Linked DNA regions of Diceros bicornis minor. The protein of the gene in region 4 purifies or fractionates together with the protein of the main gene of each other region. This does not show direct contact. Links are inferred from orthologs where the notes say so. Each region holds a gene or a part of one and is shown on either strand. Other genes may lie near its edges. The genes, in order: RPS3, ARRB1, E3 ubiquitin-protein ligase TRIM22-like and NFKBIA.

Evidence for each region.
Region 1: the proteins of NFKBIA (region 4) and RPS3 purify together in Homo sapiens (affinity purification with western blotting; 4 studies listed by BioGRID and IntAct, with this or other methods). This does not show direct contact. The link is inferred for Diceros bicornis minor from reciprocal best matches to the Homo sapiens genes NFKBIA and RPS3.
Region 2: the proteins of NFKBIA (region 4) and ARRB1 purify together in Homo sapiens (affinity purification with western blotting; 3 studies listed by BioGRID and IntAct, with this or other methods). This does not show direct contact. The link is inferred for Diceros bicornis minor from reciprocal best matches to the Homo sapiens genes NFKBIA and ARRB1.
Region 3: the proteins of NFKBIA (region 4) and E3 ubiquitin-protein ligase TRIM22-like purify together in Homo sapiens (affinity purification with western blotting; 3 studies listed by BioGRID). This does not show direct contact. The link is inferred for Diceros bicornis minor from reciprocal best matches to the Homo sapiens genes NFKBIA and TRIM22.

Annotation. Positions count from the first base shown.
Region 1 is NC_080746.1:55,785,409-55,792,643, forward strand, and holds the start of RPS3 (small ribosomal subunit protein uS3), read right to left. Parts: upstream 3,004-7,235; 5' UTR 2,954-3,003; coding exon 2,924-2,953; intron 2,039-2,923; exon of another isoform or gene 1,889-2,038; intron 1,738-1,888; coding exon 1,607-1,737; intron 1,063-1,606; coding exon 969-1,062; intron 516-968; coding exon 421-515; intron 1-420. UniProt on the Homo sapiens protein: Component of the small ribosomal subunit. The ribosome is a large ribonucleoprotein complex responsible for the synthesis of proteins in the cell. Has endonuclease activity and plays a role in repair of damaged DNA.
Region 2 is NC_080746.1:55,868,049-55,874,976, reverse strand, and holds the start of ARRB1 (beta-arrestin-1), read right to left. Parts: upstream 3,001-6,928; 5' UTR 2,886-3,000; coding exon 2,830-2,885; intron 1-2,829. UniProt on the Homo sapiens protein: Functions in regulating agonist-mediated G-protein coupled receptor (GPCR) signaling by mediating both receptor desensitization and resensitization processes.
Region 3 is NC_080746.1:63,065,607-63,072,615, reverse strand, and holds the start of E3 ubiquitin-protein ligase TRIM22-like, read right to left. Parts: upstream 3,004-7,009; 5' UTR 2,879-3,003; intron 1-2,878. UniProt on the Homo sapiens protein: Interferon-induced E3 ubiquitin ligase that plays important roles in innate and adaptive immunity.
Region 4 is NC_080744.1:14,039,666-14,047,515, forward strand, and holds the start of NFKBIA (NF-kappa-B inhibitor alpha), read left to right. Parts: upstream 1-4,839; 5' UTR 4,840-4,928; coding exon 4,929-5,155; intron 5,156-5,739; coding exon 5,740-5,848; intron 5,849-6,181; coding exon 6,182-6,392; intron 6,393-6,658; coding exon 6,659-6,747; intron 6,748-6,876; coding exon 6,877-7,137; intron 7,138-7,489; coding exon 7,490-7,537; 3' UTR 7,538-7,850. UniProt on the Homo sapiens protein: Inhibits the activity of dimeric NF-kappa-B/REL complexes by trapping REL (RELA/p65 and NFKB1/p50) dimers in the cytoplasm by masking their nuclear localization signals.

The DNA.
Region 1 (7,235 bases), on a different chromosome or scaffold from region 4:
GGTTAAGTGCGCGCGCTCCGCTGCGGCGGCCCGGGGTTCGCTGGTTCGGATCCCGGGCGCGCACCGACGCACTGCTTGGTAAGCCATGCTGTGGCGGCGTCCCATATAAAGTGGAGGAAGATAGGCACAGATGTTAGCCCAGGGCCGTCTTCCTCAGCAAAAAAAGAGGAGGATTGGCGGATGTTAGCTCAGGGCTGATCTCCTCACAAAAAAAAAAAAAAAAAAAAAAAAAAAACTTGTTTTTTCACTCGTCTTCCTTGCTAGACTGTCAGTTCAGCAAGGACATGGATTGCCAACCTCAGAGACTAGCAGAGCCTGCCACGTACAAAGAGTTCATTTGCTGAATTAGCAAGATGTAAGACACACCATATTCTGATCCACAAAAACGGGCACAACCATTAAAAGTCTCAGGACACTTACCTCCGCACAGCAAGGCCTCCCAGGAGTTTGTAACGCAGAGACTCTGCCTGGGCAATGGCACAGAGACCTCTTGTGGCCACCTTTTCAGCATAAAGCTTTAAGAAGGAAACAAGGCACATCCTTAAACCTGTTACCATCACCACTGTACACATCACTGCAGTATCCCTCAAGCACTAAAGCACCTCTAGCATCCACACCTAGCACACACTGTGACTGAGGCTGAACCACTCCACTCCTGCCCTTCCACTCCTACCTCTTCCTATGGCCAGACCAAGAAGACGGATGGGGCAGCCAATCCATCATACATATCATTACTATACCCAAGTTGAATGCAAAATCCCTTAACCAAGAAATGAGTAGAACAGGCCTGTAAAATTAAGCCCACTGCTTATTAAGAGAACTTCAACAAAATACCAATCCATTTGTAATACTCATTAATCATGAATAAACAAAGTCTTCAGGGTGATGGTAAGGGTTTTTAGAAGTACCATCCTAAAGAGCCATTTCCAGGTCCACAGTAACCTCTGGCACAAGCCAGGATCCCTCACCTCTACACTGCCCTCAGGGAAGCCAAATCTCTTCTGAACCACAGCGGTCAATTCCCGGATCCGCCGGCCCTTCTCACCAAGAACATTCTGTGTCCTGGAGAAAATAAAAAGGGACAATTCATAGCTCTCACAAAAATTCCAGACATACCTTTTTTTTTGTTTTTGTGAGGAAGATCAGCCCTGTGTTAACATCTGCCAATACGCCTCCTTTTTTTTTTTTTTTTTTTTTTGCTGAGGAAGACTGGCCCAGGGCTAACATCCGTGCCCATCTTTCTCCACTTTATATGGGATGCCGCCACAGCATGGCTTGCCAAGCAGTGTATCACTGCGCGCCCGGGATCCCAACCGGTGGACCCCGGGCCACTGCAGCAGAGCGCGTGCACTTAACTGCTTGCGCCACCGGGCTGGCCCCCAGACATACCTTTAAATCTTGTATATATTTGGTAGTAAAGTCTCATTCAACTGACAAACAAGTATAAATTTTGAATGACAAGAACTAGAGTTGGATAAAAAATGCAGTTTGAAAAAAATTCCATTTGCTAAGGCCAAATTCACTAGCTGTCCCCTTAGGTTTACAGAATAAACCATCTTAGTAGATACAACAATTATAGGTGATAGCCAGGAAAACAAGTTTTTACCTGGTGGCCAAGATGATGATTTCTGTCCTGGTTGGTGTCACTCGGACCTCAACTCCAGAGTAGCCATCTTCAGCCAGCTCCCGAGTGAGAAACTCGTTCAGTTCAGCTTTGAAGATGCCATCAGCGACAAACTAACCAAAAAGCAAAATTCAAAATTACGACATGGGTGCAGGCTCACTTTCTCCTGCCTAGACTTTCAGCCAATTTCATCAAAATTCAGCACCTCCAACAAATCATCCATCATCAATTCTATTACCCTCCTTCCAACAGGAATGTAGCAACCCTTCTCAGACAAATGCCTCTATGTCATCTCTCAGAAGTTACTCTGACCCAGGACCCTTAACACTGTGCCACAGAACGCAGCACGGAATAGGAGCCACCAGGACAAAGATGACACTTTCAGTCAGACTCGTCATCTTCTCTTCATTGAAGGGTTTTCAAGACTCATTTATATGCAAACACGCTACACAGAAAACTACTCCGAAAAAGCACATTTACAACTCATTCATTCCACACAGCAGGGACACTCCGCTTGAAACTAGCGAAAAGGACAGACAATAACTGAAGTTAAGCAGTCTCCCTTGTGGACACAACTTGGACCATCAGAAGAACCCCAGCCACGTTGTCTCGCCTCCCTTAAGGTAGCTGTGTCTTACAGAGCTGGCAAATCCCAACTCACAAAAGCGTGTGGATTTCATCTTAACATCGATGTATGTACACACGAAATGGCAAACTGCCTGTTTCTAAAGCAAATGGACTTTACACGTTTCTCTCCCATGGAAATGCGAAAAGTTAAACTTCAGAAAGTGTTCGTCCCAGGTCCCCTCCCTCCACTCGCCCACCCCTTTTCCTTGGACCCCGGATGGAGTAAGAAACTGTCGGTAGCCTCTCCAACTGCGGTCTTTGGGGCCAGACGGCCGCACTCAGACACGACTAGTAAGAAGGCAAGAATACGTACACGGCTACCTCCCTCCCCAAAACAACGGTGCCCTCAAATACAACGCCTTTACCAATTTTATTTGTTGACCAGTAAATGCTCACAAGCCCCTTCTCCGGAGCAGAAGCGGCGCCGGGTGCTTATGTCTGCTCTCCGCCCGGAACCGGCGGAAATCTGTCTTTCCCTTCCCCGCCACACTGCGCTCGCCCGGCTCAGGCCCCGCACTCAATCCACCACCATCCGCGGCCCCCGGGGACGCCACACGGCCCAAGCCGCTTCCCACGGCCGGGCACGGAGCTGCGGGTCTTGCGGCGGCACCTCGAGAAGCCTCTGAACTGCGCGAGGCCGCAATCCCACGGACCCGGGCCCCAGCGTCTCACCTTCCTCTTCTTGGAAATCTGGACCGCCATCTTGCCGCCGCGCGCCGCCGAAAGGAAAGGAAGTGGCTCTCGGGCGGAAGTGGGTATAAAGGGCGCGGAGCGACGACAAAGAACTGCGCGACGTCGACGCCTGTGGGCCCTCATGGGAAATGTAGTTTTTACCTTAGCATTAAAGGAAGAAGAAAAGTGATGGAGACACCTGTAGGCAGAAACAGGAAAGGGAGCGGATCGTGAGAACTTCAGAACTGCAAGGGAGCTTAGAGTCCAATTCTCATTGGTTTAAAAAAGAGCAAGAGGGCTGGCCTGGTGGCTTAGCGGTTAAGTGGCAGCGCTCTGCTACTGGCGGCCTGGGTTGGGAACCCTGGGCGCCCACCGACACAGTTTCTGGGACATGCTGAGGCCGTGTCCCACATACAGCAACTAGAAGGATGTGCAACTGTAACATACAACTATCTACTGGGGCTTTGGGGAAAAAAGGAGGAGGATTGGCAATAGATGTTAGCTCAGAGCTGGTCTTCCTGAGCAAAAAAAAAGGAGGAGGATTAGCATGGATGTTAGCTCAGGGCTGATCTTCCTCACAAAAAAAAAAAAATGAGGAATGTGATGTGCAGAGATGGGAATTACAGGCATTGAGCTCACAGAGCAACAGCGTTTAACAAGCATGGAACCCTGGTCCCTCCACTCTACACTGTAATGAAAATCCACCAAAAGCCCTCAGTGAAATTCAGTTAGGCGCCCAGCTCCTCCATTCTGTGTCCATTTCCTTCGTTCCAAGTGATAATATCTAATGTTTATTAAGTATTCTACAGACTGTTCTATGCCCTTTATATTATTAACTCATTTACCCCACCCCACTTTCATAAAGTCGGTTACAACTTGTAACAAAAGTCACAAAGCAGTGGCTCATGGGCTCACAATTCTTTTTCAATTAAAAGAATTTCCCCCCATATTTTATTATGAAACTTTTCAAGCGTACAGAAAAGTTGAAAGAGTTGTGCAGTGCACATCCGTATACACATCACCTAGCTGCTACAATGAACATTTTTGCTATTTGCTTCGTTACATATCTATCCATCCCTCCACCCACCCACCAATGCATCTTTTGGTGCATTTCAAAGTACAGTGCAGATGTCAGTACACTTCACTAAACACTCTAACAATGATTTTATTTTAAATTTGAATAGTTTGCTTGCATTTAAAAATCAGGAAATTTCTCTATAAAACCCTTTTAGGTTATTCTTAAAAATATATAAAGATCTAGCAAAATACCAGGCCCACATGTCCTCGTGACTGTGCTCTCCTTCCCTGGTAAATGGAAAAGCGCTTTGCAATGTGCCACAGTCCCTGGCAGCTTCGCCCATTTGTGGTCTGGTCCTAGAAGCCATTTGAGCTTTTCCCTAGCACTAAAACAACTCTGATGCAAAGATCTGTCCTATAATCGTGGACAGAATTCTGGGGGGAGCTGAGCAGAGGGACCAGGGAAGAAGTGGATGAACCAAAGAGATGGATAGGCTGTGGACTCAGTGTATCTCGATGACAGATTGAGGTTGAGGGGGCATTGAGAATGATGGTCCGGATTCTGACTCCAGTGGTGGATATTTGGTGATGACTGTCACTGAGATGGGGAACCTGGGAACAGGCTCTTTCTCTGTGTGTCCTCTCCCTCTGCTCTTCACTCCCCTCCTCATCCAGATCACTGTTAATTCAGTGGTGTCAGGCTGCTAAAAGCTCAACCCTGATGTATCTGTCTACTTGACCTGTCTACACCCTCATTCAGGATGTGGGTGCTGTGAGAGAGCACCCAGCCTTGCATGCTGGGGCCAGAATACTTCCTCATTCAGATATGCCCCTCATTCTCCTATGGTGCTTATTGTAATCTTTGTCAAATCAGAGCCTCCCCCTCACTCTCAGCAGTCAACCTCCCTCCTAACCCCTTGCCCCCTAAGTAGATTGTACAGGCAAGAACTGCCCCTCATTTACCCTATAATTGTATGTGTCCTTGGTCATCCTTCCTTTCTCCTTCCCTGTTCTTGCCCATGGTCACCCTCCTCTATGTGTTCTGGTGCAAGTTTAGTTCTGTTCCCTTGAGACCTTTCTCCAGTGGTCATGCCCTCCCTTTCCTATGATATTCTTCCTTTACTGGCTCTTTCCTTCCCCACCATCATGTTAAATATGTCTTTTCCTCCAGGGTTGGGCCTCTCCTAGTTGCTCCCATAACCACAACACTCATCTCACTGGGTTGGAATGGCCTCTTCATGTGTTTCTCCCACTGGACTGTAAGCTCCGTAAGAGCCGAGACCAAGCCTGTTTTGTTCATTAGATGCTGAGCCAAGAACATGGCCTGGCTCAGGCCCAGTGTCAATACAAGTTTGATAAACAAATCACTGCATGGATTCTGGTTTTAGATCAGTTCTTGGTAGCGTGGTTCAAATGAATTTGCTTGCAAAGGCCATGTCTTACCTGGGATGCTCACAAAACCAAGTTCAGGAGACTCAGAGCTGAGGACCAGACCATGGCAGGTTCTCTGAGGTAAATGCCACCTCTGGAGGCTCCATGGTAGCTCATCTGCTGTCCTTTCCCAGTGACACCAGGAGGCTGCCTGCCTGGATATTGTCCTCTGGTCCCAGGAGAAAGCCCACGAAGCAAGCCTTTGTCTTTATCATGATACTTTCATTTTATCTAAGACCATTATAAGAAGACGACATTATATGGCTTAAAATAATGCTGTAAAAAGAGTAGTCACAATACACTGAATTCTAATTAAGAGCAGGGCCTGTGAGAGAGCCTTAATCTCTGCCGTGGTATCCAAACTGTAAACAAGGGCTAATCTGTTTAGCCCACAGTGCCACGGAAGTGTCCCTGGAACTGTGAAGAGAGGGCCATGTGTCTGAGAACACATATGGCCTTGTTGCCACCCTCAGGCCATGCCTGGGCCCTGTGAGTGCCACACAGGTCCTGTCCTGGAATTCCTAAAAATCAGAGTTGTGATTTGCCCTGGTTCAACGAATATAGACCACAGTTTTAGAGAATGTAGACCACGATTTAGTCACTTTAAGACTAGTACAGTGGAATCTCATAGAAAGCATTTAACTTACCTGGATCCAACGGGAGGAGCTTGGAAAAAAAGAAGAGAAAATTTTAAAGATTTTATTTATTTATTTATTTATTTACTTATTTATTTACTTATTTATTTATTTTATTTTCTATTTTCTTCCGCCCAAAGCCCCAGTAGATAGTTGTATGTCATAGCTGCACATCCTTCTAGTTGCTGCATGTGGGACGCAGCCTCAGCATGGCCGGAGAAGCGGTGCGTCAGTGTGCGCCCGGGATCTGAACCCCGGGCCGCCAGCAGCTGAGCGTGCACTTAACCCTCAGCCATGGGGCCGGCCCTTTTTTTTTTTTTTAAAGATTTTATTTATTTATTAAAAGAAGAGAAAATTTAAACAGTGTGAGGGAAGGTGGGTGTGCCTGTCTTCCTGCTCCAAGAGCCCTGGGGCTCAGAGTGAGGAGGGAGGACAGAGGGGCCTTCTGCTTTCCCAGGCAGCCTAGGTCTGCCTTCCCTGAGGACCTTCTCTGAGCATCTAGCTGGGCTGATTTTCAAAGATTTATGTTTTTTTCTACAAGACCTCCGAATAAGCTAACAACTTATCTAGTGTTCAACCAAAGAACCAGGGGTCTGTGCCAGTCTTGGAGGGAACTGGATTCACGGAGAGAGGGCCCATCCGTCTCCACCAGGGCACCTCTTAAGGGATTATTGTTCTAGGATAATATTGACCATATTTGGTTGTCACTTACTTTAGATAATAACGCCCCCAGTAAGACATGATGATGTCGTCAGGTTCTCATTGATTTGATTAAAATTGAGCAGTGACTCACTCTGGGTGGGCCTGGAACTGAGTCTTTGGATATGAATAGAATACTGCAGAATAAATATTTTAATAATTTTTTTTTCACTGCTTTTGTATCATTGCTAACACTCACACTTCTGTTTTTCTTTTTTTGGTAAGGAAGATTCACCCTGAGCTAACATCTGTTGCCAATCTTCCTCTTTTTGCTTGAGGAAGATTGGCCCTGGGCTAACATCTGTGCCAGTCTTCCTCTATTTTGTATGTGGGATGCTGCCACAGCATACTTGATGAGTGGTGTGTAGGTCTGCACCCGGGATCCGAACCCATGAACCCTCGGCTGCCAGAGTGGAGTGCGTGAACTTAACCACAACACCACTGGGCCAGCCCAGACTCATACTTCTGATACCTCTACTTACAATAAAAATAAGATCTAGTGTATGGAAAGATGTGAGAAAACCAGCATC
Region 2 (6,928 bases), on a different chromosome or scaffold from region 4:
GACCCAGGACAAGGGGCCCAGAGTGACTTTCAGGCACCAACCAAGCGTTGAGAGCAGCAACAGTGCCGGCATAATCAGATCTCACCATCTTCGCCGCTGCCCCCACCCAAGCCGCACTGTCGCCATTATAGGTCTCCTGGGCTCCGGCCACGGCCCCTCAGTCTGTTCTTCCCAGCAGGTGGAGAGAGGCTGTCAGGATGTCAGTCGTACTCCGCCACCCAAACTCCTCCTGGCTGGCGCAGGGAAAAGCCTGGAGTGCCTGTAAGGTCTGGAGGTTGCCTTGCCTCCTTTCCCTCCCGCATCACCTCCCGCTGTTCTCCCTCACTCCTCCAGCCACATGGCAGCTTGCTGGGGTTCCTCCAACACACCAGGTCGGTTCCTGCCTCAGGGCCTTTGCTTGAGCAGTCCCTCCCCAACAGCTCTGCTTGCCAGCCCCCCCCACCCTTACATGATGAGGCCTCGCCCTGTGCCTACTCCCCACTCCCACTCCTGCCCTCGCTCCACTTTTCCTTTTCCCACAGTGCCCACCACTGTCTAACCTACTACATGAGGGGCTTGCTGACCACATTCACGCCTATCCACTGCTAACGTGTCAGCTCTGAGGGCAGGGATCCTGTCTCTTTCGTTCACTGACGTGTCCCAAGCCCTAGAAGGGCACACCTAGTGGGTGTTTAACAAAGACGTGTTAATGAATGGTAGGGAGCAAGCACTCAATAAATATTAGTTGAGCGAGTGAATGAATGAATGAGTGAAGGAATCAACTGAGAAACTGAGGCCCAGGAAAGGGAAGGGATTGCCCGTGGCCACAGCAGAGCACTGGACATGGGGTCAGGCAGAGGCATGGTCCCCACTCCCGCCAAGCGCTCCCTGCCTTCCAGAGCACAGTGCAGCCTCCTCCAGCTGGGTGTGGGAGCCTGAGACCCCCTCACCTAGCGCCCATCATCTAGCCCCAGAATTGCTCAGGGTAATGTTGGGAGGGAGAGAAGAAAAGCGAAAGACAGCGACAGAGACCCTGAGGATAAGAGAAGGTGTTAGAGGAGGGAGGGAAGGGAGGAGAGGACAGGGATGCAGGCCCTGGAGGTGTGACAACAGATGAAAAAACAAACAAACAAACAACAAGAGAGGGTGAGGGAGATGCAGCAGACAGAGCATGGAGCAGGCCCACACGTAGCTGAGAGGAATCCACGCAGCCCAAATCCTTCCCAGGAGCAGGAGGTCCAGCAGGCGTCCAGGGCAAGGCAGGGTGAGGCCACAGTGTCACAGTGACAGTCGCTCCTCCAAGGAGGCGAGTGGGTGGTGGCTCTGTGCTGCCTCCATAGCCCACCCCCGCCCACACCACCCCCTTATTTATGGGGCCCAAAGGACCACGGATGGGTCTGAGCTTGGCTTGCAAAGAAGGGCCTGGCACTGCCCTCCCCAACCTCCCCTAGGAGTTCTGGGCTTCTCTCCTCCTCATAAATATTTATCAGTGTTCGCAGTGTGAAGATGCCACAGTCGGCTGGGGTGTAATAATTGCGAAAGTGAGAAAAAATACAGATCACACAGTTTGAATCAGCAGCTCCCCCGCTAGGGCTGGGCCTACAGAGGAGACCAGAAAAGTGGCACAGGCCACAGGGACCCCAGCTGCTTCCAGAAGCGTCAGTCTACCCTCGGGAGGCCTGGGTCTGAGGGAGAGGAGGGGACACAAATGCCTGAAGCCACAAATAACCGAGTCAGGGAAAGCCATTCCAGTGATCCTTGAGAGGAACACAGGAGGGGGCCAGGGCCAGGCTAGGAGGAGTGATAATCAAGGAAGGAGGGCGGGAGGTAAGAAGGACACAGCATTTGCTGAGTGCCTATTTAATTACTCTCCCAACAGCACTGTGGAGTGGGCATTATAACCCCCACTTTATAGATAATGAACCTGAGGTTCAGCGAGATGTAGTAATTTGCCCAGGAACACAGCAAACAGAGGCTAAGTCGGGATTCAGACCCAATTTTTTCTGTCTGCCTCCAGAGGCTGGGTCTTTATATCCGATCCTGCTGCTGTCCTAAAGCAGGTGTTTTTATCAACATCAGGATAACAGAAAAGAGGGGAAATGAGGACAGGAGAGGGGAGGGGAGGAGGAAGAAATGAAAGGGCGGCTAAGGGGTGAGAAGGAGAGGAGGGTGACAAGGGGCAGGAAGCATGGCGAGCCATGGGGAACATCCTGTCGCTAACTCCACCAGCCCCCAGGGCCACCTCCTCAGGAAGCCAGGATGCTGATGGCTTCCTCAAACAACCAGAGCAGCTGCCCAGGCCGCTGAGAGCGTGTTCCGCCCTAGTCAGGTCTCTAAGTGTTTTTCCCAGAACGTTGCTGATGCTTCAACAATCCCATGTCAGAGATGAGGAAACTGAGGCTCAGAGAGGGAAACTGTGGCTGCCTGTCTCCAGAGCCCATGTGGTTTCCACTCTGTCGCACAGCCAAGCCCTCCCTGAAGCAACTCCACTGGCTTCCTGACCCCAGGGCTGTCAGACAAAAGGCACCTGGGGGGTGCTTCCGGTTCCCCGGCCCCCTACACGTGCAGTGCCACACAGATAGCCTCTGCCTGTCCACTTTGAGGAGCAAGCACAAACATGCAAGACTGTGGTCAAAGCCAAGCTTCCAGACTGTGGGACGGTGCGGTTGGTTCACCCCAGAGTCCCATCTATGCCCCACGAGCCTGATCCTCAGAGCCAAAGCTGGGCCCCATAAGGGAAATACCGGTGGCATTCTAGCTGATGAAGGCTCACCGGAGAGACGGAAGAAGCCCACCAAGGGTAGCTCAAGAAAAGGAGGAGGGGGTATGACAAGGAGGCAAAAATCTCACGGGAAGGACGCGCAGGCAGGACGCATGGGGGCTGGAGCCAGGAACGGGGAAGCCATCAGCCTCTCAGGTGGTTGCTGTCTCTCTCCACCTCTCCCTCAGGGGCTGCATGTCTTCCCGGCTGCACGGCTCTCTGTGCGGCTGCTCCATTGTCTCTGTGGACCAACTCCCTCTGCTTACTCAGTGCTTTTCCACTCCTCCATCATCTTGGCTTCATGTGGCTCTCACTCCGACCTTGTTTCCACTCTGCCTCTCACTCAGCTCCCCACTGTTAACTGGCTGAATGGCCCAATTCCAAATCCCAGGAGAGGAATTTGATTGGCCAGCTTTGGTCAGGTGTCCCACGCCTGGACCAATCAGCTATGCCTTGGAGGTGTCATGTGGTCCATGAGGCATGGGCAGAAGAGGGTCTGTAAAGCAGTGTTTTTCAAACCAGGGGTTATAACCCATTAGTTGATAATGAAGTCAACTTCAAGAATTGCCACCAGCACTTTGTTCTTGTTGTTGTTTGCAATAGAATAGAAGATATAAGCATGAGGTGCAGATGGCAAGGGTATGGTAGATATTACGATATTTACCAATATTCTATTCTCCTCCAAGGCTGGACATATGAGTGGATCAAATTTCTCCAGTCCTATGAAGTTAGACATACCTATGTGGCTCGCTCTGGCCAACGAAATATGAATAGAAGTGCCACATGTCACTTCCAGGCAGAAGCATTTAAGGGCTGGTGCATGATTCCCTAGGCCCTTTGTATTAGTTTTCTATGGAGGCTATAACAAATGATCACAAACTTAGTGGCTTAAAACAACATAAACTTATTATCTTGCAATTCTGCAGTTCAGAAGTTCAAAATATACCTCACTAGGTTAAAATCAAGATGTTGGCTGGGCTATACTCCCTTCTGGAGGCTCTGGGGCAAATCTGTTTCCTTGCCCTCTCCAGCTTCTAGAGGCCACTCACATTCCTTGTCTCATAGCCTCTTCCTCCATCTTCAAAGCCAGCAACAGCAGGTTGAGTTCTTATCACATTGCATCACTCTTACCTCCTCTTCTGCCTCCCTCTTCCAGTTTTAAAGACCCTTCAGGATACATTCAGCTGCCTATTTTAAGATCAACTGATTAGCAACCTTAATTCAATCTGCAACTGTAATTCCCTTTTGCCATGTAATATAATGTATTCAAAGGTTCCAAGGGTTAGGAGGCAGACATCTTTGGGGGGCCATTCTTCCACCTACCACACCCTCTTTCCTCTGCCACTGAAACCAGCAATGATCGGGATGGGGAAGCCTCCAGCAACCTGAATCCCAGGGCTCTCCTGCTAGGTGATAGACATGTAGCATGAGAGAGAAAGAAAGCTCTCGAGCCACTAAGATTTGGGGGTTGTTTGTTAGTGCAGCAGACCAGCTTCTCCTGCCTGATACAAAAAGTAAGTATTATTTAGTGAAAATTTTGTTTCAGGTGAAATGAGTTACAATGTAAAATAAATGTCATGCTGCAAATTTTTAAATGTTTAAAATCCACTGTTCTAGAAAAGGAAACCCTCATGCACTGTTGGCAGGAATGCAAACTGGTACAGCCACTATGGAAATCTGTATGGAGATTTCTCAAAAAATTAAAAATTGAAATACCATGTGACCTAGCTATTCCACTACTGGGTATTTATACAAAGAACTTGAAATCAACAATTCAAAGAGGCTTATGCACCCCTGTGTTCATTGCAGCATTATTCACAATAGCCAAGACTTGGAAGCAACACAAGTGCCCATCGACTGATGAATGGATAAAGAAGATGTGGTATATATATACACTGGAATACTACTCAGCCATAAAAGAAGACAAAATCATCCCATTTGCAACAACATAGATGGAACTTAAGAGTATTATGTTAAGTGAGATAAGCCAGACAGAGAAAGACAACCACCATATGATTTCACTCATGTGTGGAAGATAAACAAATACATGGACAAAGAGAACAGATTAATGGTTACCACCAGGTAAGGGGGTTGGCGGGAGGGCATAAGGGGTAAAGGGGCACATATATACGGTGACTGACAAATAATAATGTACAACTGAAATTTCACAATGTTATAAACCATTATGACATCAATAAAAAATAAATAAAAAAATAAAGAGGTGAGATATTAAAAAAAAAAATCCACTGTTCTAGAGAAACATGCCTAAAATAAACATGCTCTATCAGTGTCTATGCAGCCTGTTGGATCCTGTGTTCTGATTCCACTCCATCAGGGTGGTGCTGCCAGGTGGGCTGGCAGGTCAGGTCTCCATGAACCAGAATGTTGGCTTCTCTAGTGAGCCCATTCCCCACCTGCAGCATGGGCTACCTGTTGGTCAACTTTGACATTAATATTCTGCTGCTCTTCTGGGAGCCGCCAGTCCTCCCAATGTTCATTTGTGCCTGTAGAAGGTGGTCTGCACCATAACGGACCCAGAACAAAGTACCTTCCAAGACAGATCCCCAACAACCAAGAGTTTATAGTTCTGTATAGTACAGCCAAACAATGGAATAGTACATAGGATTGAAATTATGCTTGCATCTTTCGTAACACAGGGAAATGCCCATGACAGAATATTAAGCAGAATAATTCAGGAATCAAAACAGTATATTTGGCATGAACTCAACTTTATACTCAATAAATACCCAAAAGAAAGAATGAGAAGACTTAGCACTAAGATGGCAATACTCCTCAAACTGATCTATGGTTTCAATGAAATTCTCACCAAAATCCCAGCTGAGTTTTTTGCAGAAATTGACAGGCTGATCCCAAAATTCACATGGAAACACAAAGTACCCAGAATAGCCAAAACAATCTGAAAAAAAACAGAACAAAGTTGGAGGACTCAGACTTTCCAAATTCAAAACTTACTACAAAGCTATAGTAATCAAGACTGCCATGTGATACTGGCATAAAGACAGACATGTAGATCAATGGAACAGAATTGAGAGTCCAGAAATAAATGAATATATTTATGGTCAATTGACTTTTGACAAGGGAGCCAAGAGAAGTCAATGGGGATAAAACAGTCTTTTCAACAAATGATGCTTGGACAACTGGATATCCACATGCAAAAGAATGAAGTTGGACCCCCTACCTCACACCATATACAAAAATTAACTCAAAATCGATCAAAGATCTAAATGTAAGAGCTACAACTATAAAACTCTTAGAAGAAAACATAAGTATACATTGACATGATCTTGGATAAGGCAATGGTTTCTTAGCTATGACACCGAAAACACAGGCAATTAAAGAAAAAAGTAGATAAATTGGACTTCATCAAAATTAAAAACTTTGGAGCTTCAAAGGTCACTGTCAAGAAAGTGAAAAAACAACCCACAGAATGGAGAAACTATTTTCAAATATTTGAAAATATTTGAAGAGGGCCTAGTACCCAGGATATATAAAGACCCTATTATGATTCAACAATAAACAGGTAAATAACTCAATTAAAAATGGACAATGGATTTGAATAGACATTTCTCCAAAGAAGATCTACAAGTGACCAATAAGCACATGAAAAGATGTTCAACATCATTAGTCACTGGGGAAATGCAAAATAAAGCCACAAGGAGATACTTCACACTCACTAGGATGGCTATGGTCAAAAAAGACAATAACAAGTGTTGCCAAGGATGTGGAGAAACAGGAACCCTCATACCTTGCCAGTGGGAAGGTAAAGCAGTGCAGTCACTTGGGAAAACCGTTTGATAGTTCATCCAAAAGTTAAATATAGAGTTAACATATGACCCAGCAATTCCATTCCTAAGCGTATATCCAAGAGAACTGAAAACGATGTCCACACAAAAACTTGTACAGAACTGCTCATAGCAGCATTACTCATAACAGTCATAAAAAGTGAAAAAAAACCCAAATGTCTATCAACTGATGAATGTGTTTTTTCAAATGTGGCATATTCATACCATGGAATATTACTCAGCTGTAAAAAGGGACGAAGTACTGATTCATGTTACAACATGGATGAACCTTGAAAACATTATGCTAAGTGAAAGAAGCCAGACACAAAAGACTATATACTGTTTGATTCCATTTACATGAAATATCCAGAATAGGCAACTACAG
Region 3 (7,009 bases), on a different chromosome or scaffold from region 4:
GTTAGTCTTGGGATCAAAGGGACCCTGTTTCAAACACACTGAGTGCTACTACAGATTGAATTGTGTTCTCCAAAAAGATGTTGAAGTCCTAACCCCATATATGTGTGAATGTAACTTTATTTGGAAATCATATCTTTGCAGATGATCAAGTTAAAATGAAGTCATTAGGGTGGGCCTAAATTCAACATGACTGTGTACTTATAAAGATGGAAAATTTGGACACAGACAGACATGCACACATGGAAAATCTATGTAAAGACAAAGGCAGAAATCAGGGTGATGCATCTACAAATCAAGGAATGCCAAAGATTTCCAGCTAACTATCAGAAGCTAGCAGAGAGACTTGGAACAGATCCTTCCCACACAACCTTCAGAAAGAACCAACCCTGCCAACACCTGTGATCTTGTATTTCTAGCCTCCAGAATCGTGAGAAAATAAATTTTATTTAACTCGTCCATTTGTGGTACATTTTTTATGGCATCCCTAGAAAATAACACCAGTACTTATTTTTCCTTTATTCATTCATTCTTTATTCTATCATTGAAGAAGCAATATACCATTGAAATTCTCCCCACCTAAGACAGACAGACAAACAGACAGATACATACAGAGATAAGACATATGCTCCCCTCTGGAGATGGAGCAATGTAGGAGTTTTTACAGTAAGGTAAGGACCAACTAGGTCCTGAGTTTCCTTATCTCACTATATCCTGATGGTCTGCACAGAGGCTTTCTGTATCTGTACAGTTTAGACAAGAAAAAGGAAAGTATCTCCACAATAAGGAGAATAAGTCCTATGAGGGGTTGAACCAACATTCTTGAAACTTCCCCTGTTCCCTGGATCAGGAATTGCCAATGGGAAAGTGGACTTGTCCTTGGCATCCAGAGACTTGAGGAAACTCAGAAACAGTGCAACTCCTCTCCATCCCTCTACGCTCAGAGCTCCCTCTTCAACCACCTCTTAGAGATCAGGGTTTAACTTGCCCCACATTAATTACCCTCTCCCCAAACACTCTAGCTCCCAGGTCAACTAGTTTCAAAGAAATCATTTGATAACAGAGGCCATCTTCATAAAGCTGCCCCTGGTCTCATCCCTTTTTCTCACTGTCAGTTCATCAGAATATACTCTATCTCTCACTTCAAATTAAAGAGTCTTTCACCCTGATTCCAAGAATAGTTTCCCCACTGGTCTCCCTGATACTGCCATTGCTCCCACAAAGTCTCTTTTCATCACTGTTCACACTAACAGCTAGAATGATTTTTAAAAGTATACATCAATCTTGTCACTACTCTGCTCAAATGCATGTCATTTAGCTTGAGTCCATCTTTTTCGTGGTCTAGTTAGGGGCACATAACACATCCCCTGCTATGGCCTCATCCCTCTCAGCCCACCTCCTACTCTTGTGGAACCCACACTGGCTGTTTTTATGCTCCTTAATCACTCTGGACAAAAATCCATCTTAAATTCATCATTTCCTTGAATATGCTGCTCAAAATCACCTGTCCATGCTAAGACTTAACCTGAAATTTATTTAAAATTTCAAAGCTCTTTCCCAGGGCACATAGATTCTGTCTCCATTACAGCCCTTTTGGTATATTATTGTTATTTCTTTGTTGTACATTTGTACCATAGTGAGTTTCATCTTTTAACACACTACATGACACTTTTACCCCTTGTTTTCTTTCTCCTGACTCAGAATATAATATTTCATAGGTACTTCATATTTATTTTATGTTCAGTAGATGTTAACACAATTTTTTTCACCATAGCTGTATGCTTTTGTTCTTGTGAATTTAAGCAGAAATATTAAAAATTAAAAAAAAATTCATTTCTTCCTGTTTATTGAGCTCTGTACTAGAACTGAGTAGACAATTAACATATACCATCTGTGAACCTTGTCCAAGTGTAAGGCACAGACTCATGACCTCTGAAAAGTGCAAGGAAATAAGACACACATGAAAACATATGTAACACAGAAATCAAGGAACAAAGTATTCACAGGTGAGATTAAGATGGGGTTCTTTGGAGAAATAACCAACTCCTTGTCTTTGTGCAAGGGAAAATTGAGTAAGGAGTTGAGGTAATAAGCAATGGAAAGGTGTGTCTAAGATGATGAGGAACAAGTTCTAAAGCAAGACCTCTCACCAGAAGGTCATGAGGCACTACTGAAGTAAGAGTAAACCCTTGCACTCAGCAGAGAACAAATTCCCTGTGCCTGGAACTCCAGAGATAAGTGACCACAGAGGAACTGCAGAGATAGGTAGCATCTGATAAGGCAGCCTCTCTCATTAGGCTGACCCAAGGGCTGGTAATTCATCAGGATGTTTGTGGATAGCTTCCTAGAAGCTACTAGGAACAGAGGAAAAGGATAATCTTCAATAAGGTCTTATCCCCGACGGAGCCCCTAAGATCTCTTCCCTCTATCATGAGTCCATATAAGGGCTCTTATGTCTGCTGGCTCTCACCAGGAGCTTGGGCTTTTATGAAGAGGGAAAACAGGACTCCATCCTCACAGCCTTTTCTGGAGAAAGGAGGAAGGAGTTCTCTGCCTCTGAAATAAAAGAGTATTCTGGCTCATCTTGTCAAGGTAGAAAGTCAAAACTACAGAATAGGAAGAAGGTGAAGGTAACAGTTTGGAGAAATAATGGTCCCTCCAAGAAACAAATGACATTCTTTGCCTTTTTAACCCTTCCTATTTTAAAGGTCACTCCTCTCCCAGACTCAATGCTCTCTTTCTCTGCCGCTTTAGCAGAAAACCTGTAAGCTGGCTCTTTTTGTTAATTCAGAGCAGCTTTAGAACCAATAAACTCACCCAAACACATTCATTCTATTCTCAAAGACTGCTGCCCTTTGCCCTCACAAGGTACCTTACACACCTTCAGGAGAAGTGGAGGAGTCTTGACTCCGTGGAGATCAGGTGCAGGTGTGGTCAAGATTCATTCATGAAGCCAGACTGATGCTTGTTCTAGAAGAGGAGTTTCCCCACAGGAGCTGGGTGAGAAATGAAAGTTAAGTTCTTAGAAGTAGAAATGAAACAAAGGAAACAGAACAGAAACTTAAAAACAATGGGAGGACACCAGAGGAGAGTCATGTTTCAGCATGTTCTAGGGCCTGCACCGATGAGTCACCCAATCTCTATATTCTTATTCCTCTCCCAGTTTACTCCAGCAAAATATTTGATAAGAATATGAATTACAATGATACATTCTACATCTTGCCCGAATACTCAGAATTTCAATTCAATCCTATAATTATTAGTTAAGCTTATCCAATAGTCAGATCTTAAGCAAGTCACTAGGGATAAAATATAATTCAAAAAGGCTCGGCACCTCACCTCTTGTATTGCAGAGTGTGATGGAAAAAGCAATCGCCTGCAAATTTGAGCTGGCACAGTGAGTATTAGTGGCTGTCATTGTGAATAGTAAAAATAAAATTTTTAAAATATCTTCAATGTGAGCCTATTTAGAAAATATTTTCACAATGTTATTGAATCTTAGAAGTCCACCAGTTAATTACCAGTTTCTGCTCCTTATCCAGGCAGGCCAGAAGAGGAAGGATTCTCAAGACTAATCATGGTAAAACTGTGTCATTTCCATGTTACTCAGCAACTAGGAGGAGGGTGAGAATATGGAGGTTAGTAGATGGTGCTGTTCCAGTATAATCTTTCACTGAGTAACACTCACACCTCCAAAATTTGCTGATTTTTCCCTGCTTCCTTTGGAAAACATTTGGTCCTCTCTATACCATAAACCAAAAGCAGAACATTTTATATTTCCTACACGTACTTTCATGCCACATTATCTATTGTGTTGTTGTTCTGACTACATGTTCCAGATGTTGCAGTTACAAGACGATGGATGCTCCATAACATGGATCCCTGACGGACGGAACTGAAGAACACATCATTCTTCACACATTAACTGATGTGAGACAGGTAGGGCACTGAGAAGTTGATGTTTTTCCAATTAAAGCACAGATATTTTGGTATTGTTTGTAATCTACAGAAAAGTAAGAAAATCTTGGCTTATAAACTCTTCCTGAATCACTTATATCTGTGAAGTAGTAACCGAAAATTATATAGACATAAATGCTGAGCCATATTGACAGTTTCAGTTTCTCGGCTATGAATAAAATTTGTTCTAATGATAAATAAACTCATGATGCCTTTCAAGTGCAGTGAAAGTCCTCCACATTTTGTATAAATTGCATTTTTCCTTTATCTTCTTTGTTATCACATAATACTGTCATTGAGTATCCCTCCTATTCTGGCCCTGTGCCCAACAACAGTAAGTTGTCTGAAGGCGGAAAGGGACCTTTTCTATGTTGTTCCTTCATGTCTCAGATCTACTACAAAGTGTTGTATATAGGGAGTGATATCTAAATAGAAAGGCATGCAGTAGCATAGCTATAGATATCATTTTAATTACATTGAACAAATTGATGATAATCACAGTTATATTCTATTGTTTTTGTGGCAGTCAACGTAATTGCTGTGATTCATAATGAAATTCTCGTATTTGTATTAACACATATGAACTCCCTTGACAAATTTTAATGAACAATTTTCCATTTCTTGTGTTTTGTTCCTAGGATTGACCCAGATACTTACCTCAATGCCGGATGTTTCCTCTATCTATACCACCACACTCTAACCGCATTACTTCCTGTACCCTGTGGTTTTTTCAGACTGTAAACAGTAAAAAATTGTGGGTTCAAAATGGAAGAACTTTCATGAGACTCCTCTCCAGCAAGAGATGTAGGGACTGGAGGGAAACACAGAGCGCTAAGGAGAATTTATTATTCCCTGGGCCTTCAGAACCTAACAAGCTAGAATGTGGACCATAACAAAGTGGCTACCTTTGTAAATAGACTTTGGGTGGGAAAAGGAGCATGGTTCCTTCCGGTTTCCTTTTGGCCCATGTTTTCTTGTCCCTGACAAGCTTTGATTTCCTCACTGGTTTCTCTCCACCTTAAATCTAATGTCTCAGAGGAAATTCCCAGGACATCAATGGCACTCTCCCTACCCTCCCATCCCCTCTTGGGCCTCTGATTCTCACCTACATTTTCCAGAGGAATTTTTTATAATCTCTTCTCAGACAAGATCAAAAACATCAGGTTTTCTATGTACCCATAATTTTTAAATTATAGGTTGATCCAAGGCTTTATAGCCCAAAGCTGCCCTATCTCAACCTACTCAAAAATAGATACCAAGTACTGGGTCTTGAGTTTTGCAAGATAGGGATCTCAGGGGCTAAGGAAGAGGGATCTAGAACAGCCAGCTTTTATACCCCCCACTGCCAAATAGATCTTTTTCTTTACATTCCAGAAGCACTTGGACCTCGTGTGAAGATCTCACAGAGAATGCATTAGTTCTCTTGGGCCCAGGACTTGAGGTCAGAACAGTGATTCAAAGGGAGAAAAGACTACAGGCACACTTTGCTTTATTGTGCTTCACAGATACTGTGTTCTATTACAAATTGAAGATTAGTGGCAACCCTGCATAAAGCAAGTTTATTGGCCCCATTTTTTCCAAAAGCATTTTCTTGCTTTGTGTCTCTGTGTCACGTTTTGGTAATTCTCACAATATTTCAAACTTTTTCATTATTATTATATTTGTTATGGTGATCTGTGATCAGTGATCTTTGATGTTACTATTGTAATTGATTGGGGTGCCATGAACTAAGCCCATATAAGGCAGTGAAATTAATCAATAACTGTTGTGTGTGTTCTGACTGCTCCATCAACCAGCCATTCCCTTGACTCTCTCCTTCTCCTCAGGCCTTCCTATTCCTTGATATACAACAATACTGAAATTTGACCAATTGATATCCCTAAAATGACCTCTAAGTGTTCAAGTGACAGGAAGAGAGGCACATCTCTCACTTTAAATCAAAAGCTATAAACAATTATGCTTAGTGAGGAAGGCATGTCAAAAGCTGAGATAGGCTGAAATCTAGGCCTATTGCACCAAACAACTAGTCAGGTTGTCAATGCGAAGGAAAAGTTCTTGGAGGAAATTAAAAGTACTACTCCAGTGAACATATGAATTCTAAGAAAGTGAAACAAACTTATTGCTGATGTGGAGAAAGTTTTAGTGGTCTGGATAGAAGATCAAACCAGCCACATTTCCTTAAGCCATAAGCCTAATCCAGAGTAAGGTCCTAACTCTCTCAATTCTATGAAGACTGAAAGAGGTGAGGAAGCTTCAGAAGAAATGTTTGAAGTTAGCAGAGGTTAATTCATGAGGTTGATGAATAGAAACTATCTCCATAACATAAATGTGCGAAGTGAAGCAGTAAGTGCTGATGTAGAAGCTGCAGCAGGTTATCCAGAAGACCTAGTTAAAATAATTAGTGAAGATGGCTACACTAAACAACCGATTTTCAAAGTAGGTAAAACAACTTTATATTGGAAAATGCCATCTAGGACTTTCATAGCAAGAGAGAAGTCAATGCATGGCTTCAAAGCTTCAAAGGACAGGCTGACTCTCTTGTTAGGAGGTAATGCAGCTAATAACTTCGAGTTGAGCCAATGCTGATTTCCCATTCTGAAAATCCTAGGTCCCTTAATAATTATGCTAAATCTACTCTGCCTATGCTCTATAAATGAACAACAAAGCCTGGATTACAGCATAGTTTCTTGAATACATTAAGCCCACTGTTGAGACCTACTCCTCAGAAAAAAACAAAAAAATTCCTTTCAAAATATTACAGCTTATTGACAATGCACCTGGTTACCCAAGAGCTCTGAGAGATGCACAACAAGATTAATGTTTTCATTTCTGCTAATACAATATCACTCTACAGCCCATGAGTCAAGAGGTCATTTCAACGTTCAAACCTTATTATTTAAGCTATACATTTTGTAAGTCTATAGCTGGCATAGATAAGATCCTCAGACAGATCTGGGCAAAGTAAATTGAAAATCTTCTGTAAAAGATTTACCATTCTAGATACCATTAAGAACATTCATGATTTATGGGACGAGGTCAAAATATCAACATTAAC
Region 4 (7,850 bases):
CCCATATAGTTTCTGGTGGCAGATTTTGCCTCTGATGCTGAGGGATCACGAGCCCCTGACCTGATTATGGTGCCCAAGAGCAGGGTCCTCCTATCATTTATGTCCCATATCTGCGGAGTACCAGACCTTTGTGTGGAAATGCGCCAGTGCTAAGTATCCTCATACCCTGACTACACTCAGAATGAATTTACACCCTCCCACCGAAAATAGCAAATATACTGGTATGCAGAGGAAGCAATGTGCTGTTAAGCCTCCACCCCCTTCCTGATCCAACTGCTCCTCCCTGAACACAACAGAACATGATCAACCCTACACACCTATAGATATGACTTGGTTACTGCCAACAAACAGTGGAAAGAGAGAGCCAGGAATTCTGGCCGGGGGTGACACTTGCAGGCCTCTCCTTCCCTTCCCTGGCAGCAGGTTACCCAACAGGCAGACTGGGCACATGGTTGGGGCACCAGCAGAGCAGGTACACCTCAAAGAGGTGTTTATTGAAAGGATGAGTTAAAAAAAAACACCTAAGTGGTCCTTGTGAGATACATCAGAACTCTGTTGAGCTACTTACACTTATTTTACAGTGTAGTGTTTAAAAGTCCTTTGGAGGAGGGATAACTCTCTTTTCAGGGCTTAGAGCCTCTGATTCCAACCCTGCCTGCCAGAGACAGATCGACCTTCCTGGACAGACACACTCTACCCCCAGCCTCCAGTCACCCGGAGGAGCCGAGACCCCACGATGCCAGGGAGCTGAAAGTGGGTGCCTTCCCCCAGGCACCATGAAGACATCATACTTTAGCTGAAAAAGAGGTTGTAAACTCAGGGCCTAAATCTTTTGATTTAGCCAAAAGATGCAGAAATGCATTCTTGTCTGGTTTTCACATGTTTTAAAAGTTGAAAAATTTCACATCAAAATCCATTTTCTGGGCGGGCCCCGTGGCTTAGCGGTTAAGTGCACGCGCTCCGCTACTGGCAGCCCGAGTTCGGATCCCGGGCGCGCACCGACACACCGCTTCTCTGGCCATGCTGAGGCCGCCACATACAGCAACTAGAAGGATGTGCAACTATGACATACAACTATCTACTGGGGCTTTGGGGAAGAAAAAGAACAAAAAAAGGAGGAGGATTGGCAATAAATGTTAGCTCAGGGCTGATCTCCCTCACCAAAAAAAAAAAAAAAAATCCATTTTCTGATTTTTTCGTTAACAATGGAATATGAGTACTGCACTCAAAGTGCCACCTGGAAAAACTCATCTGAGCTGAGTGTGAGGGACATGTTCTCTCAGGTCTACACTGTGAGAGGCGCCACCACTTCCCCTTGGACTCACATGGCCGGCGTCACTCATCTGTGAAACCTGTCCAGCCCTGATGGGTTAAGTATTTGAGTTAGACCCTTTAAAGCTTTGATCCCCATTAAATTGCAGAATTTGTAGCAAAAGAAACACGTGATGGCTTTGACAGTTTTATTTTTAAGTCACTACAAATGAAGGTCCTGACAGCTGTTTTTCTGTGCAGAAAGATCCAGAGCTTGGGAGCTCCACATTCCGAGGGGGATGAATGGAGGCGGTTGCTAACCACCACAGGAGGAAAGAAGACTGAGCCTGGGATTGGAAGCAGAATATAAATTCAGAATTCCACAGTGGGGCTGTCCATGAGCAGTGTGCCTGACTCGCTTGCCCTTCAGGACTCTGTCATGGCCCCTCTCTCTCCAGGCCCGGCTGCACTGAGCAATGGGTAGCCTTTTTCAGGAGTTCAGTTTGCTGGGGCTAAAATAATTTTGGTTTAATTGGCCAGGGCAACTGGCACAGGACACCCTGCCCATGACGTTAAGAAAAGCCAAGTATGTTGGACCAGCTGGCTGAACTTACAGAAAAATCTCCCCCACGCTGCCAGGCCACTGGGCATTTCAGGCAGTAGGTTCGGTCCACACTGGGCATTTCCCAGCCAAGAAGAGCGTGAGCATCACTGGCCACCCTGTCATCCCCTACGGCTGCATGCTGGGCTAAAATACAAAGCAGCTTCAAGGTGAACTTATTCATTCTTTTGCCTCTTGCATTAAAAAGAAAAACGCCAAAAGACACTAAAAATAAGTTTTTTAACATCTTTAAAATGGTCAAGATTAGCTAAAATGTTTGACAATGAGGTGGGGAGAATTCTAAGTCTCTGAGTCCATAAAGTTCTTTCTAAACCAAAAATCAGTTTTGGCGTCTTCTCCTGCCCCACCTGCTTATGTTCTCTGATTTCCAGGTATGTTCTTTATGGGCCAAGTTGTAATGTTTGTTGATCTAAACCAAACAGAGCTATCTACGGTAGGGAGAAAACCTGTTGGATTACATTACTCAAAACTGTCTCCCAGGTTGCAGAGAAACAAAAGGCACCTCCTTGGGAATCCCCACCACGGGGACAGGTCATCAAGGCTCAGCACCTCCCAAAATTTCCAAAAGCAGGTGACAAATCTGGGCTGCCTGGGCCTGCATCTCACCACTAGGTGTCACACTAAACAACCAGGAATAAACACCACCAGGTCCTGAAAGCCTCAGGAACACAAAACCAAAACAAAAAAAGGAGGTGCAAAGATACTTATTCCTGAGAAATGTTTTACTTATGCATGATTTTCTTTTTAATGATCATTTTTAAACCCGCAGCTAAAAATTCTCTTCTAAAGTATCCTTTCTAAGTGAGGCATTCCGAGTTCGACGCTTGTGTATGTTTTTTACAGACGTGATTATCCCCAGATAGGAGGCCATCAACCCTCCATTTTGTCTAACAATTGGAGTAGAAAGCACTTTGAATGTCTTCCAAATTATTTTCTCATTTTCACAATATGCTTTCAAAGTGTTAATACTATGACTGCTTTGGCCAAATGATTAATATGTTGGAATAGAAATTACATAACCTGCCATGGGGTGCCTAGCTAAATTTCTCTGCATTTCAGTTTCTTCTTAGGAAAGCAGGAGTAATACCTATCTTACGAGATTAGTTCGGGAACTAACAATGTGCTACATAAAGTCCTGGAGTTCTTCCAAACATTTACACTGATAGTTCCAAGAGACATGGCCCCCTTAAGCAGAGTTATAAATGCATTTGTGACCAAGTAATCCAATTTTTAAGCTGGAAAAAAACTCTAAATAGCATTAAGTCCAATCTTATTATTATAAAAACAGGTATATCACAGCAAAGTTAACTGATCTCTCCAACTTAATAGGCAGTTAATTCGAGGTAGAGCCTGGAATGGAGATCTCCTGCCTGTAGTTGCTCTCCCACCTTGCCCCGGTAATCGTACATTTGAATATCATATGCCTGCAGATACAAAGGGGTCTATCCCTGGGAAGTTTCCATTTTAACACGTGATCATCACTACCCCGAAGGTTTTATTTCCTGATTTTACCTTTCCTCCGCATCTTTTGTCTCACACCCCCATGGACCCAGGTTCCCTACATTCAGGTATCGGGGGCGGGGGAGATGAGAAGAGAAAGGTTGGTTAGTCCACGGCCAATCAAGTTAAAGATGATTGCAGAAATCTCTGCAAAACTATAGAGGCCTCCTGGGGCTAATTCTGCAGAACTTAGACCAAAGTTCCTTTATTTTGCCTGGACCAATTCTAGAAGTAGATGAACTCAGTCCGTGGCTTGTTGGCTAAGAGGTGGGGGTAGGGTGGGGAGCATAAGTTCTATCTCTGCAGGTGAAACCAGGGGATGGGGAGCCTGGAGCGACTACCCACGTTTGCACAGATAGGTTCCACCACTGCCTCCCCCAGCGCAGGAGAGCAAGGAGGAGGCAGGGGCAGGAGGGGGCAATGTTAGGGCTGGCTGCCTTGCAGTGGCCTAGCAGTTACTTTCCCAGCCATCCATAAGGCCCAATCCTGGATAAGACACTACTCAACCCATTCTTCAGCCTTCTTCTCCAAATGCTTCTGGAAAGTCACCCAGCTGGGCAGCCAGAGGTAGGCTCAGGATCCATTCTCTGCAGCAGCACAGTGCAAATCAGAGAACACGACCTCAGTGATGACTTCATTACTGCAAGGTATCTACAACTTCTAAGACAAGATTAACACCTTGCTCTGCTTGAAAAAAAAAATACAGTCATATTCAGCATTTTCCTGCATACTGGCCCAGTGCTTGTCCCTCCCCCAGTCAACAAGATTGTTAATCCCGAGGAAATGATTTGAGGGTTCTCCAAGCATTTCCACTTTTAACGCGAGGGGCTGAGGGGTGCCACATTCCCTGCACTGCCGAGAGCCTGGCGCTGGCAGGAACACAGAGGCAGCCCGCACTCCACCTTCTAACCGCCAGTGCGTCCTTCTCGGCAGACAGAAGTTTAGGGAAGCGAATCCCTACACCAAGCCATCATTTCCACTCGAGTTTTCAAAAGATCAAAAATCGGAAAGGACCGTTAGGTTGGCAAACCCTAAAGAGGAACCGCCCAGCAGGTCGGCGTCCTTGGAATCTCAGCAGCCGAGGACCCCTAATCAAATCGATCGTGGGAAACCCCAGGGAAAGAAGGATTCTTGCAGACGGACAGGATTACTGAGTGCAGGCTGCAGGGAAGTACCGGGGGAGGGGGCCCGGTCGGGAGGACTTTCCAGCCACTCAGCCTTCATCAAAAAGTTCCCTGTACATGACCCCAGTGGCTCATCGCAGGGAGTTTCTCTGCTGAACCCCGGCTCAGGGTTTAGAGTTCTTTTTCCCCTAGCAGAGGACGAGGCCAGTTCTCTTTTCTGGTCTGACTGGCTTGGAAATTCCCCGCGCCTGACCCCGCCCCGGAGAAATCCCCTGCCAGCGCTTATAGGGCGGCGCGGCGGCGCTGCCGAGCCCACAACAGTCCGGAGCCGCCGCGCCGCCCGCCCGCCCGCCCGCGCTCGACGCTGCGAGAGAGCGAGCGCTGCCCGCGGCCGAGCGCACCTGGGGAGCCGCGCCGAGCCTTTCCGCGCCATGTTTCAGCCCGCCGAGCACGGCCAGGAGTGGGCCATGGAGGGGCCCCGGGACGCGCTCAAGAAGGAGCGGCTGCTGGACGACCGCCACGACAGCGGCCTGGACTCCATGAAGGACGAGGAGTACGAGCAGATGGTGAAGGAGCTGCGCGAGATCCGCCTGGAGCCGCAGGAGGCGCCGCGCGGCGCCGAGCCCTGGAAGCAGCAGCTCACCGAGGACGGAGACTCGTAAGTGTCGCAGGCCTGGGTGGCGGGGCCGGGTGGGGGCGAAGGGCCTGCAGCCCGAGCCGCTGGGCCCGCGATGGGGCCTCGGACCCGGGGTTTATGCACCGTCCCCGAGACGGTGCAGAGCTGCAGGGCTCCGGTGGGGACGGGGGGTGCAGAAGGTTAGGGGGTCGCTCCCGGGGCCGGGGTTCCGCAGCTCTGCCTTGCAGCCGCGCACACCCCCCCACCCCCCCGTCCCTGTCCTCGGGCCGGGGGCGGGGCGGCGGCGGGGACGCGAAGTCCCCGCTTGCATAAGGGGGGCGGGCGTTCCTGGCCCGCTGGCGGGCGCCGCGCGGCCGGGAGGGGAAGTACAGGGCGTTCCGGGCCGGCGGGAGGGCGGGGCGGGCTGGCCGGCGCCCGGCGCGGGGGGGCCCGGAAAGTCCCTGGGCGCCTGCCAGGAACACTCAGCTCATAATAACCTCGCGGAAAACACCGCGGCCGCGGCCTCCAGAAACCCCGGCCTTGCGCAATCCCCCGCAGCCCGCGCCTCCCCGCGCCCCACGCAATGCGCTCACCAGCCCTGGGGGGTTTTCCCTCTCTTCCCTCAGGTTCCTGCACTTGGCTATCATCCATGAAGAGAAGGCCTTGACCATGGAAGTGGTCCGCCAAGTGAAGGGAGACCTGGCCTTCCTCAACTTCCAGAACAACCTGCAGCAGGTGCGCCCCTTGCTCAGCCCAGTGCCTCTGACCCCGTGGGGGAGCTGGATCTAGCACACTTGCTCCCAAGCCTTGATAAATGAACAGTCACTGGTCATTGTCTGCCCTGACCTTTTACGTTGGAATCTGCCAACATCCTAGAGTAAAGAATTCATTGATTTGGTGAGGCCTTTATGAAGCCCATCTGGGGGCTCTGGTGTTTATTTGTTTGTCCCTTGTACCTGTCTGGGAGGAGCAGCACCCACAAGCAGGACTTCTCTGGGGTTCAAGGGAACTCAGACTGTGGGTTTAGCCCGTGGCTTATTCTCTTTGTGTTCCCTCTTCTGTCTGTAGACTCCACTCCACTTGGCTGTGATCACCAACCAGCCAGAAATTGCTAAGGCACTTCTGGAAGCTGGCTGTGATCCTGAGCTCCGAGACTTTCGAGGAAATACCCCCCTACACCTTGCCTGTGAGCAGGGCTGCCTGGCCAGCGTGGGAGTCCTGACTCAGTCCTACGGGGCCCAACACCTCCATTCCATCCTGCAGGCCACCAACTACAATGGTACGTCTGGCTGCCCTGCTCATCAGAGGGCAGGTCACATGGAGAAGGGGGGAGAGGCAACTGAAGGAGTCTAGGCAAGAGCTTAAATTATCACCACGTAAAGGTTGAGCTAATATGTATGCAAAAGGCCTATCTGATGCCTTTACAAAGTTCATTCAGAACCCTGGCTTCTTCAAGTTTGTCCCTTAAAGGAACAGGTGAAAGGTTCTGCTTGAGATGTGCGAGTTGAAACAAATAGTTATACTTTTTTCATTTTGTCCTTCCAGGCCACACGTGTCTGCACCTAGCCTCTATCCATGGCTACCTGGGTATCGTGGAGCTTTTGGTGTCCTTGGGTGCTGATGTCAATGCTCAGGTGAGTGCTTCCTGCCTCCAGGTGGAGTGCATCAGGCTCCAGGGCCCACCTCAGCAAGACTTTATGTGCTCTTGTTGCAAGCAGAAATTCCAAACTCATCTAAACATCTCAAATGCCTTTTGGTTTCAGGAGCCCTGTAATGGCCGAACTGCCCTCCATCTCGCAGTGGACCTGCAGAATCCCGACCTGGTGTCCCTCTTGTTGAAGTGTGGGGCTGACGTCAACAGGGTCACCTACCAGGGCTACTCCCCCTATCAGCTCACCTGGGGCCGCCCAAGCACCCGGATACAGCAGCAGCTGGGCCAGCTGACCCTAGAAAACCTTCAGATGCTGCCAGAGAGTGAGGATGAGGAGAGCTACGACACGGAGTCTGAGTTCACAGAGGACGAGGTGAATCTCAACTTCTTTGTCACTCTGCAAAAAGCAGTGAGAGTGGCCATTCTCCCTGCACCCTCCCAGGCCCCTAGAGCTACTCTTCCCTAAGGTCTCAACATAGTGAAGTTCTCAAACTTGCCTGTGCATAACTAGTATCCCACGAGTGTGTCTTTTCTCTTTTGCCCCTTTTTAAGGAGAGGAGCATTAAAGGAAAACTCCCTCAGTCCGTCCAGTTAATTTATATTTGGGTTATAGAGAATGCAGTCCAAGAATACCTGAGTTATTCCCACTAGCACCACCCACCATCATCCCAGCCCCCTTGGCAAAGCTCTGAAGTTTAACGTGCCTTTTTTCCTCTTGTTTTTAGCTGCCCTATGATGACTGTGTGCTTGGAGGCCAGCGCCTGACGTTATGAGCTTCAGGAAGTGTCTAAAAGAACATGGACTTGTATATTTGTACAAAAAGAGAGTTTTATTTTTCTAAAAAAAAAAGAAAAAAGAAAAAAATCAAAAGAGTGTACTACTTATAACCACACTGCCTGGCCTGAAACATTTTACTGTGGTGGATCAGCTCTCATTTGGTTATTTTTGTGAACTTTGGAAGGGGGACAAGCAAGATCACTGGAATCCCAAGAAAACCCCTTTTAAACCTCACCTTTGTGGGGCTTTTAGAGAACGTGGTCCAAAATTTGATGAAAGGAATACATTTTATTTATTGTGCTTCTTGAT